Linked DNA regions of Arabidopsis thaliana. The protein of the gene in region 2 interacts with the protein of the main gene of each other region in a pairwise test. Each region holds a gene or a part of one and is shown on either strand. Other genes may lie near its edges.

Evidence for each region.
Region 1: the proteins of ROXY1 (region 2) and TGA10 interact in a two-hybrid assay, tested with the Arabidopsis thaliana proteins (one study listed by BioGRID).

The regions. Positions count from the first base shown.
Region 1 is NC_003076.8:2,118,531-2,126,688, forward strand, and holds TGA10 (bZIP transcription factor family protein), read left to right. Parts: upstream 1-1,941; 5' UTR 1,942-2,380; coding exon 2,381-2,454; intron 2,455-2,538; coding exon 2,539-2,660; intron 2,661-3,031; coding exon 3,032-3,123; intron 3,124-3,329; coding exon 3,330-3,458; intron 3,459-3,582; coding exon 3,583-3,648; intron 3,649-3,756; coding exon 3,757-3,816; intron 3,817-3,903; coding exon 3,904-3,981; intron 3,982-4,072; coding exon 4,073-4,154; intron 4,155-4,244; coding exon of another isoform or gene 4,245-4,247; coding exon 4,248-4,519; intron 4,520-5,663; coding exon 5,664-5,918; intron 5,919-7,534; coding exon 7,535-7,687; 3' UTR 7,688-7,927; downstream 7,928-8,158. Other genes in the region: AT5G06830 (uncharacterized protein), read right to left, coding at 1-67, 159-253, 326-420, 690-824, 969-1,029. UniProt on the Arabidopsis thaliana protein: Together with TGA9, basic leucine-zipper transcription factor required for anther development, probably via the activation of SPL expression in anthers and via the regulation of genes with functions in early and middle tapetal development.
Region 2 is NC_003074.8:331,633-335,114, forward strand, and holds ROXY1 (Thioredoxin superfamily protein), read right to left. Parts: upstream 1,441-3,482; 5' UTR 1,291-1,440; coding exon 880-1,290; 3' UTR 643-879; downstream 1-642. Other genes in the region: ACR6 (ACT domain repeat 6), read left to right, coding at 108-434. UniProt on the Arabidopsis thaliana protein: Has a glutathione-disulfide oxidoreductase activity in the presence of NADPH and glutathione reductase. Reduces low molecular weight disulfides and proteins.

The DNA.
Region 1 (8,158 bases), on a different chromosome or scaffold from region 2:
AGCTTCTTTACGATCAAGTTCTGTCATTTGTTGCTGAACCTTTTGCACTTGCTTTTTCAGATAAGGGCTTCATGTTTTGCAAAAAGAAAACATATTAGGGAGATCAGAAATGCCAAAGTAGAGAGACTATAGGTAAAATCAAGTAGAAGCCAACTTACATTTCGTAATTAACATTCTGAATTATTATCTGAGCTGCCTCCCCAAGATAAATGTGATCTTTTTCAAACGCACGAACAATTGCTTCCCAAACACCCTAAAAGAGCATTATACAGCTGAGACAATGAACACAAACAAAAGTGCGAAACAGAGAGACAGTTTTCCTTACAGAAGCACCCGAAAGTCGACCAAAGATGTTGCGGCTTTCCGGAGTTGTCTTCAGGAGAATCTCATACACCTTTTTGACCTCCAAGTAACCGATCACTGGAAGCAAAACAACATTAAACTTGAATGAGAATACAACCAAGTAAGGCCCTCCTCCTAATCAATCATCAGACATAACCAAACAACAAACAAGCTTACGGTGTTCACAAAGATGCCAATAAAATCTCTTTGGCATTTTCAAACAAAATACTAACACTTTAAGTTATAAATGAGAGCAGTGAACCAAAACGCAATTTAAGACGAATTCGTTTTGAAGGTTTGAAAATTCGCCAAACTGATAAAAGAACAAAATTTGAAGAATTTAAAACCTTCAGGATCTAGGGTTTGAAAGAATGGATCGATCTCTTTAGGCAAAGAAGAGAACTCTTTTAAGATTTTGACTCTGATCACAGCAACCCTCTTCCTCCAATCCGCCGGAATTCTCTTCCGATCCACCAACCATTCTTCAAATTCAACAAAATTGAAATCAAATGAAGACAATAATCACCAACGCAGATTCGAATCCAACGAAGAAAACGAAAAAAAAAAACCAAAGAGATATAAAAATTTAAAATTCCGTGTACTCGTAATTGATAGTTCTGCATTACCTCCGAGACGAGAGAAGGTGATATCGATTGGAAGATTTTGAACATCATCTTGTGACGGCATTTTCTTCCGGTTAACCTTTCACGCTTTCTGGGAAATTTTATCTCCGAAGTCTCACACAGTTTAACGTTTTGGAGTCTCAAGAGTTTGCTACAGAAGAACGCATAATTTCATTGGTCTCATCAAATATCTCGAATCCGGTTATTGAACTAACCGAACCAATTTACTCCGGTCCGCGGCAGATTAAATTGTTTATTGGTTTTATATGGGTTGGTTGGATGGTCCATTACCGCGGTTAACATAAACTGGTCTATCTAGTAACGTCGGTTTTACCTTTACGGATTAGTCTACAGATTTTAAACTTTTTTTTCTTTACAAGTTAAAACTATTTTGAGGAAATTATTTGTATGAATATTTTGTGAATGATGGGAAAGAAATCAAAATTAGTTTACCAGCTCAATTTGATCAAACCAATTAGCTTAACAAAAACAAAACCTAGACCATATTAGTGCCCATTCAAACAAAGTACAATGGAACAGTTAGAGATACAAACAAAATTCAATCAATATATTTGACAATCTAAGTTCATAAATCACATAATAATGACTTTTAACTTGTTTCATATAATGTCTAGTGTTTATAGATTGAATGTAAGAGCGGTTAATGGATCATTAAAAATCGAATAAAAAATCTTATAATAATAATATAGATGATGGAATTGAAAAGTATATCTTAAAGTAAAAATCTAATAGCTGAATAATATATATAGGAGAAATATAATAATAATAATTTAGAGAACAAACAAAAAATATTTATACAAGTTTGTTATCAGCAATGTGACTAGAGAGAAGGAAGAAGAAGAGAGAGGGGATGGAAAAGGACATGTTCTTGACCGCTTTATCAGAATATTTTTCTTGGTTTCATACAAAAATAAAAACAAAGTCGTCTTCTAATATTTTAAGGTAGAAGAAACTTATACAACAAAAATATCAGAAAATAAAAAGGAGTTTGTCTTTAGGTTCTTCTCTCCAATCTCTATTTTTCTCTCCAATATCCTTCTTAAGTTTTTGAACCCTCTCCACTTCAATATAACCGACCTCTCTTCTCTCTTCTGAAAAAAACACCAAAGGAGCTTTAAATGCTCCGTTACATAATCTCTATCTCTTTCCAAGAATATAGAGAAAGGAAAATAATATACAAGAATTAAAAGAAGGTATATCATCATCTCTCTAGCTAGTGATCAAAGCACCGTCATCATCATCATATATCATCAGCTTGCCTCAGAGGAGAAGACCAACATAAGAGAGATCGAAGATCAAAATCTATCTCTCTTCATCATCTTCTGCTGTTACTATCATATCACACGCTCTCTCAAACATCATCCTATATATAGACTTCTCTTCATCATCATCAAATGCAAGGTCATCACCAGAATCATCATCAACACTTATCATCATCCTCCGCCACGTCTTCCCATGGAAACTTCATGTAATTTTTACTCACTTAATAACTTTTTGAATTGATTGATGATCCCCATGTTTTTAATAAGAGAGCTTTAATTTATGTGTGCAGGAACAAAGATGGGTATGATATTGGAGAGATAGACCCATCACTCTTCCTCTATCTTGATGGACAAGGACATCATGATCCTCCATCAACTGCTCCTTCTCCTTTACATCATCATCACACAACTCGTATGCACTCTCTCTCTCTCTCTTTTCTTTCTTTTTTGGGAATTGGGGTTTGTTTTTTTGGTTTCAGCAGATAAGGAAGATTCCCTTTAGGTGTGTGAGAGAGAGAGAGAGTCACAGCAAAAGCATGCCAAACAGATTTCAATCTTTCTTCTGCCATCAGTACTCTATTCTTTCAGCTTTGACCAGATCCTCTCTCTTTTCAGACACCAAATCTTTCAAATCCATATATCTTACACTTCTTTAAACCCTTTTCTCTCTCTGTCCTTTTTCTTCTAATTAGAAGAACTAGTCCGCTCACATATTTATATACATGACTTGTTATAACTAGACCATTTCTCATACATATGGTCACATGACTCATCTTATGGCAGAGAATTTGGCGATGAGACCTCCAACATCGACGCTCAACATCTTTCCATCTCAGCCTATGCACATAGAGCCACCTCCTTCTTCTACACACAATGTAATAATTATTACTATTACTTTATAAATTTCTATATATATATGCCAATTTTAGTTGGTTTCTGTTTCTAATTTAATATAATGTCAGCGCAACTACTAGCCATTTCATATAATATCAAGTCAGACCAATTATTATACGTTTCTTATTTTTCTATTGAGTAGTGATTTGATTGTTTTTTGGTTGTTTTATATAATGTGTTTGGTAAGACCGATAATACAAGATTAGTTCCGGCTGCTCAACCTAGTGGTTCCACTCGACCAGCTTCTGACCCGTCCATGGACTTGACCAATCATTCTCAGTTTCATCAACCTCCTCAAGGTTCTAAATCCATCAAGGTCTCTATCCATTTATGTTTTTTTAATCATTTAATTGCTTTGTCGAACTATAACTCGAGTATAGATATAGACTTGTTGTGGTTGTTTTTAGAAGTTAATGGGTCATATCTAAATGTTATGGCAGAAGGAAGGGAACCGCAAGGGTCTTGCCTCATCGGACCATGACATACCTAAATCGTCAGACCCTAAAGTGAGTGTATATTCATACAACTGCAGAAAATTAATAAGATTCTTTTTTTTTTTTTTTTTTTTACTTTTCGGTTTTTGATAGTTTCTTTATTAATTTAATTCTCAACAGACATTGAGAAGACTAGCACAAAACAGAGAAGCAGCAAGAAAAAGCAGATTACGTAAAAAGGTCAGCATTCAATATTTGTAAGTTGCAAATATAGTTTTTATATCCAAATTTATTTATAACGTTATTTGCTTTGGTAAATTACGACAGGCTTATGTTCAGCAACTCGAGTCATGTAGGATCAAACTGACCCAACTAGAACAAGAGATTCAACGGGCCAGATCCCAAGTAAATATTTGAACCTGTCTTTTCATATATATTGTATTTAACCTAAAGTCTAAAATGTACCAATTTAATTTGATTTCCTATATATGTTTAGGGCGTATTCTTTGGAGGGTCTCTTATAGGAGGAGATCAACAGCAAGGTGGACTACCCATTGGCCCTGGCAACATCAGCTCTGGTACGTTAATAGTTTCATAAATGTGATGACTCAAAAACCGTAAAATTTGAAAACCGAGAGAATGAGATATTGAGTAAATGCAATGTGAAGCAGAAGCAGCGGTGTTCGATATGGAATATGCGAGGTGGCTGGAGGAGCAGCAGAGGCTATTAAACGAACTAAGGGTGGCAACACAAGAACACTTGTCCGAGAACGAGCTTAGGATGTTTGTGGACACATGTTTAGCTCATTATGACCATTTGATTAACCTCAAGGCTATGGTCGCTAAGACCGATGTCTTCCACCTCATTTCTGGAGCATGGAAAACTCCAGCTGAACGTTGCTTCTTGTGGATGGGTGGTTTCCGTCCATCGGAGATCATTAAGGTACATCTCGTCTTTTCTTATAGCCATATACATATATTTAGGTTTTTCGAGAGATATTTACTTATTCTATTCGAGCCACATCCCACACAATAATTAGTCATGATGATATTGTAAACTAATCAAATATGGATTAATAAATCTAAATTTTGGAATTTTACTTGAAGACTAATCATTTTAAATTTTATCTTAGAACCTAAAATATTCCAGGATACAATCATTAATACCATCAATTTTGTGGATTACTTGCAGAACATATACTAATAATGACTGAAATTGTGACATTGTTATTATTTATATCGTACATATATGTCCACAGAATATAGTACTTCCAACTTTATTTTATTATTTAGATTTTTTTTTTTAATTTAGTCTTTGATTCTCGTAAAAGAGGTACGATATAGTAATAATAGATAAGACAGACAAGAGATAGACTATATAGTGATATTGTTGGACGAGGTATATATATACATAACATTGCATGGGGTGACTCTAGATGTATAAAACCAACATATATACGTGAATGTCTTTATATTACGACAATAATAAAGGTACACGTAAAATTATTTTGAAAACAAATTAAGAATGCATGCAATTGTGTGTGATGGTGAAGTATCTCTAGAAATAGGTAGGTTTTGGCATAATGCAAAAGAAAGTGCCTGTCTGTTTTTTCGATTTATGGGATCCATAGGAGAGAGAGATAGACATAAACCACCATGGAATTCAACAGAGACGACCATAATAAACAAACCAAAAATAAATAATTGTTTAACATTTTTAGCACGCTCGTCAATTGGATGATTATCATTTTTTTTCTTTTCTAAAATGGTTACGTAAAGCCATTTTAATTAAACCTACTTTTTATTCTAAACAATATGAGTACCTACGATAGCCGATTAATAATACAAATTAATATATGGATGGTGTGCATATCTGACAAGACCTTTGGCAATGTCTCAATCTTATATCCTTTTTAGTGAAAATAAAAAGGAAAGAAGAGATTTTGGGTGTAGCTAGTAACTCGTGCAGAGTACATACACTACACACTTTAATGCATTCAACGTTCTTTATGCATCCATTAAGACCATTGTTAATTAATCCTCGATATCTCAACTTGTGTGTATTAATTAGAAACGCATGCATGCAGGTGATTGTGAACCAGATAGAACCATTGACGGAGCAACAGATAGTTGGGATATGTGGGCTGCAACAGTCCACACAAGAGGCCGAGGAGGCTCTCTCGCAAGGCCTCGAGGCGTTGAATCAATCACTTTCCGATAGCATTGTCTCTGACTCCCTCCCGCCTGCCTCCGCACCACTTCCTCCTCATCTATCCAATTTCATGTCACACATGTCCTTAGCTCTCAACAAGCTCTCTGCTCTCGAGGGCTTCGTTCTCCAGGTACCCTTATAACTCTTTCTTTTTAAGTTTATGTGCAATTATATATCAATATACCAATCTTTTATCTTTATATAAAAATATACCTATAGAGTTGATATACAAGTGGACCCCTAGAGGATATATGTGGTCCTAATCAGACTAGGAATACATATTCTGTTTCTTTGAACTACTCCTTATTAAACTCAACTATCATATACTTATATATTTCTATATTTGGCTGTTATAACACGCTATCTAAATTTATATAGATGTTTGTATATATGTGTGTGTCTGTTTTGTGTACAACTCATATATAGGTATAACGTCGGCCATAATTTGTTAGAGGACATTTGTAATATATTAAGTGTATATAGAATAAAAGTGGTTGATTTTAAAGAAGATGTCAAAACTAATTCGCAAACTTAATAATTATGCATTAACATGTATATGTATATGAAATGGAAAGTATTTGCCTCTTGATTCGGACATTATGCAAGTAGGTATCTAACAAACACTTCTCTTGTCTTATATCAACTTGGTCGGGTTGCTTTTCTTAGACGACCAAGTTTATTAATTTAATATTTATTTCTTAATCATTTACTAGTTTAGGACAGGCAAGTTTTTGAAACAAAGAAATATATATATCTGCTTGTGTATATTAATGTATAAGTCTATACTCTATATGCAAATGGACATTTCGGCTAATTAATTCTATACAAGATACATGCATATACAAGTTGGCATCTTTCAATGATTTCTTAATATAATTAGTTCTAAATTGTTCCTGTTCCGCCTATAAAAAAAGTTTTTGTGTTTCGCTACACGGTTAGTCGCTCACAATTTGGAGAAAGATCCAACTTTAAAATAGGTGGTAAATGTGGGGTTAGTTACTAAAAAGGGGTAATGAATTCAATTTTCTCTAAACGCACGTGACAATTGGCACCATGAAAGTATGTATTAAGTATACATATTCCAATATATGTAGTCCAAAAGAAAAATACATATATTATGTATCTATAATATATCACATCAAATAAAAACATGGAATGCTTGGAGCCCATATCGTTGCATGATGTCATGGACGTAACTGCCCAAGTATCCCATCCTCCGAAAACACTTCCTTGAGAATAATTCCTTTACTTACATTTGATTCTGCATTTTTTTGTCTACTTTTATATCATTGATAATAGGTTGATTATATATGTATGATTCTAATTAATGATCAAAAGTATCATGAAGCATGGCGTGGGACCGAGGGTATGGAATTCACGGTTTCACCTTTTTGACATGTTGGTGTCGTGTTCTTATTAGTGAATTACTAACAAGCTTTGATTTTTTGATCGATCAACATGTTGAATAATCGGCATTAGTCGTCAATCAACCACATAATTTCGGGTCATGCACAATCATTATAATGCTTAATTAGTCCTTTATCTGTTTTTTTCCTCTCTAGTTAGTCTTTAATACTTATATTTATGAGATTAATGATGGTCCAATTCGATTATTTGTCCTTAATTGGTCTTAGTCAATAACATGTGCACTACTTTGTCCATCTTTTGTTTTGCTTTTACTATTTCTCCATTTTCCCTATAACTCTTATTTAGTTTTGAACTAGCTAATACATTAGAAACTTACAGGCGGATAATTTGAGGCACCAAACGATCCATAGGCTGAACCAATTGTTGACGACCCGTCAAGAAGCACGGTGTCTTCTAGCCGTTGCGGAGTACTTCCACCGTCTTCAAGCTCTAAGTTCTCTCTGGCTAGCCCGTCCTCGGCAAGATGGATAATACTAAAACAACTGATGAAGGAAACCAAAAACAAAAACAAGAGAATAGGTTGATTAGTTAGCCGCCAGCTTGACCTCTTTATCATATATATCGTCTCTCTACTCAAATACAGTGCAATTAGGGAAAATTGTTTGGCTTCTTTTTGTTATATGATTCTTACTATTATGTTTTTAATCAAGATGCAGATTATATATATAGACAAGTATTCCATACCTTTTAATGAATTCTTCCTTATGCAAATTCAAGTGAAAAATTATACTTGATCTTCAATTCCAAACACAAGAACATGAGAGAGTATTGAAAGGAAACAAAAATAGAAGGCTGGCAACAATTGCAGTTGCATGCAAGACTTATCACTTGTTAGGTCAAATTAAAGCATTGACCAGTGAGGAAGGTGACAAATGGTGAGTTCTGTAGGATACCGTCAGGGACTTGGGATCAGTACCGTTTTGCTTTGGGTTCAACGCCCTT
Region 2 (3,482 bases):
ACCAATTAGGAATGTGAAAATTCTCTGTCTTGGCTCAAATTACATTCTGTTCTGCATCGATTTCTGATATACTCAAGACAGATTGTGCATATGAAACATACTTTCAGGGTTTAGAGCTGGAATTATCAGCAGAAGACCGAGTTGGTCTTCTCTCAGACATAACCAGAACATTCCGAGAGAACAGCTTAACCATTGTGAGAGCAGAGATATCAACGCGAGAGGGTAAGGCTAAAGACACGTTCTACGTTACAGACGTGACTGGAAACCCGGTTGAATCAAAAATCGTGGAGTCAATCAGACAACAGATAGGAGTAAGCAAGCTGAAGGTGAAGAAGAAGGAGAAGGAGCATTGCTCTGTTCTTGGTACAAGCAGGCCTTCGCACGAAACAACTACAATGGGGTATTTGCTAAGTAACATCTTCAAACCCAAGTAGCTTCAAGCTTCACCTATCTCACTCATAGTCATAGAGTGTGTGTGTGCTTTGTATAGGTTAGACAGAGTAGGGCATCATTTAAGCTGATCGTAGCGATCCCCTCTCAACAAGTCCCTTGTGTGTAAATTTGTGTGAACAAAATAACAGGAACTGCCTTTGAATAGATACGGCGTCAGTTAATACCGTTGATTAATGGATCCAGGGGACATTAATAAAGATGCAAAGTGTTTACTATTATGATTTAATGAGAGCATTCGAAAGATCAATAAGAGATGAAGAAGAGGAAGACAGAGAAAGGTGAGCTTAAAACAACTCTCTCTCTAATTACAAACTATAATCTAAAACCTGTCATTACAGCCATTGACTAGTTTCCTAATCTTCCTCCACCACATTCTCTTACAAGAAAACTTCAAATAGAAAAGAAAAAAGAAAGCAGAGGAAGGGATCAGAGCCAGAGAGCGCCGGCGTCTTTGAGAAGAGGAACGAGAGAGCCGTTTATGTGAGAAGCCATGACTCTGTCCATAGCTCCAACCAGTTTACCGCCGATGAAGACGACCGGGAGAGACCCTGGAGAAGAGGAGCCGGAGCAGCCGAGGAGACGAATGAGGGCTCGCTGGATGTCGCCGCCGTAGGGGTGGAGGTCGAGCTCGTGGACGGCGGGGCTGACGCCCATTCCTCTGAAGAGACCCTTCACGGCGTGGCACATGCAGCACGTGCTCACGCTGAAGATCACCACCGCGCTCTCAGAAGCCAGGGACTCTATACGAAGCAGACCAGTGTCAGCCACCATCCCCAAACCGCCGAATCCTAAGCTGCTCATCTTGTATGATCCCCACGATTCTGTCTGGTATTGCATCTTTGATATCTCTTCTCTTTCTCTTGTTACACTTTTGTTTGGAAAGAAACTAGATTAAACACGAATAAGAGAGAAAGAGGGATTGGCTAAAGTTTGTTGGTGAGAAGAGAGTGAGAGCCATGCAGAGTATTTATAGAGGCCTACTACACCTCTGAGTCTAACTCTGTTTTCCTCTAATTATTAGTATTATTGTTTCTTTCTTTATTATTTGTGTATAATAACATGACCTCTATTTACTTCTCCATGAAAAAAAGAAAAAAAGTAACAAAACATATGAATTAAAACCGATGACATCAAGATAGTGATTGCTGTTGAAAACAAACACCGATAATAGTTATCGGAATAATTTCATTTTTTTGTAAAAAAAAAAAAAAAGGCAAGGAGAGTTGAAGAACAGGCTTTTATCAGAAGGGAGTTGTTGGTAATAGACGGCTCCGTCTGTCCTTCTTGTCGGCTCTTACCGCTCTCACCATTAATTTTCTTACCACTTAATTCTCTCTTTTTCTTTCTTTGTATTTTCAGATACATGATCATAAAGTAAGAAACCATAATTTCCACGTAGATAAGCTCCCTCAATCTGTACAATATGGATTTTGGCAGGGTTTTTCTTTTATTCCATTCTACTCTGTAAAATATATAATTCCATACGACCGAGTAATCATCAATCCAGCAAATGTGTAATCATCACATCATAATTTGTTAAGGAGTCAGAATCTTATGTTTCTTATCCAGATTAATAGCATCCTCCTTATATATATAGAAAAAGAATTATGACTCGAGAATTATGATGTGTACATATTTTATAAGAACAGCACCCATGAATTAATTTGGATGGGTTTAATTATAACAATATTAAAATTTGAACAATTTTATATAGAAAAAGCCTTTTTTTTTTTTCTTCAAAGTTTACAAAGTTTGTAGTTTGTGACATGCTTTTGGCTTCCACGCTTGTGTCCTTTATACACGAAATGCCTTTTTTGTGTGTCTCAGGTTTGAGCTCCACAATAAATTAAATCTTAAAATGAGATTTAAAACGAAGGATTGATGGAAGAGAAGATTTTATATGTATATTGAATATAGTAAGAGAAGTCCGTACAGTTATGCTCCCTCTAGCTGAAAAAGAAAGTTACTTCTTTTAGTGTTTAAACTCATGTATTTCTTTTCTGGAAAAAAATCTTTGCATGAGAAATCGTAAAAGATAAATAATCTTGTCGGATTGTGGTTGTCGGATCGCTTTACCTTTGATTTTTGATTTTTTTTTTAAAAATCTAGTTTTCCTGACAGAAGACTTACGTAACACTTGTCATACAATGTTTGATCTGTTCAACCGATTCTCCGATATTAACCCTTTCGAGTAGCGTATGTACATGCTTTTCAATAAGGGTATTTTGAACATTTCTGAAGTTCGTATTCAACGCCTGAAACTTGAAACTTTGAACATTCCTTATTCCTTTGTATATTGATCTAGCTCTTTTCTGTTTTTGGCTTTTTTTTTTATTCTTCAAAGTTTAAATATGTATATACAAGGCTAACATTATACAAAACTTTAAAAATCTTTCGTTTTATGATTATCAATAAAAAGATGATTTTCTTCTTGTAAAAAAAAACATTTTAGAGAGAAAAAGAAAAAAAAAAAAGAGATTTTGATCGATCGGACGGGTAGGGTTAGATGGCAGGAAACGAGAGCCCTCTGGCCTATATTAATTAGTACAACAAAATATATAAATTGATATCAAAATAAAAAATAGAAAGAATACGAGCGTGATGCTATCTTTTCAGCTTTATCTGGTCTTTGCCATTTATAAATATCTGTGTGTATGTCTCTCTTTGCACAATATTAATGTTGTGCTTTGTTATAAATATATCTTCATTTCATATTTTTATATTTTCAAATTTCGTTTTTTTTTTACCTCTTACGGTGAAACAAAGCCGATAGGGAGATGAAAGGTGGGGTTTGAACTAAACCCTAAAATAAGCTTTAGAGAGTTCTATCGTCGAAGTATAATGGTCCGAGTCTGATTCCAACACCTGACCAAGATATGTCCCTACGGGTTATAAAACAATGTATATATTATATATATACAAACAGCTGGCTCATATATATCTGTAATACACTGATACAGAGGAAGGTACATATCTGTGCCTATGTATGCGCGTGGTGTAGCTGTATATGCTATGGAACATGTATATAT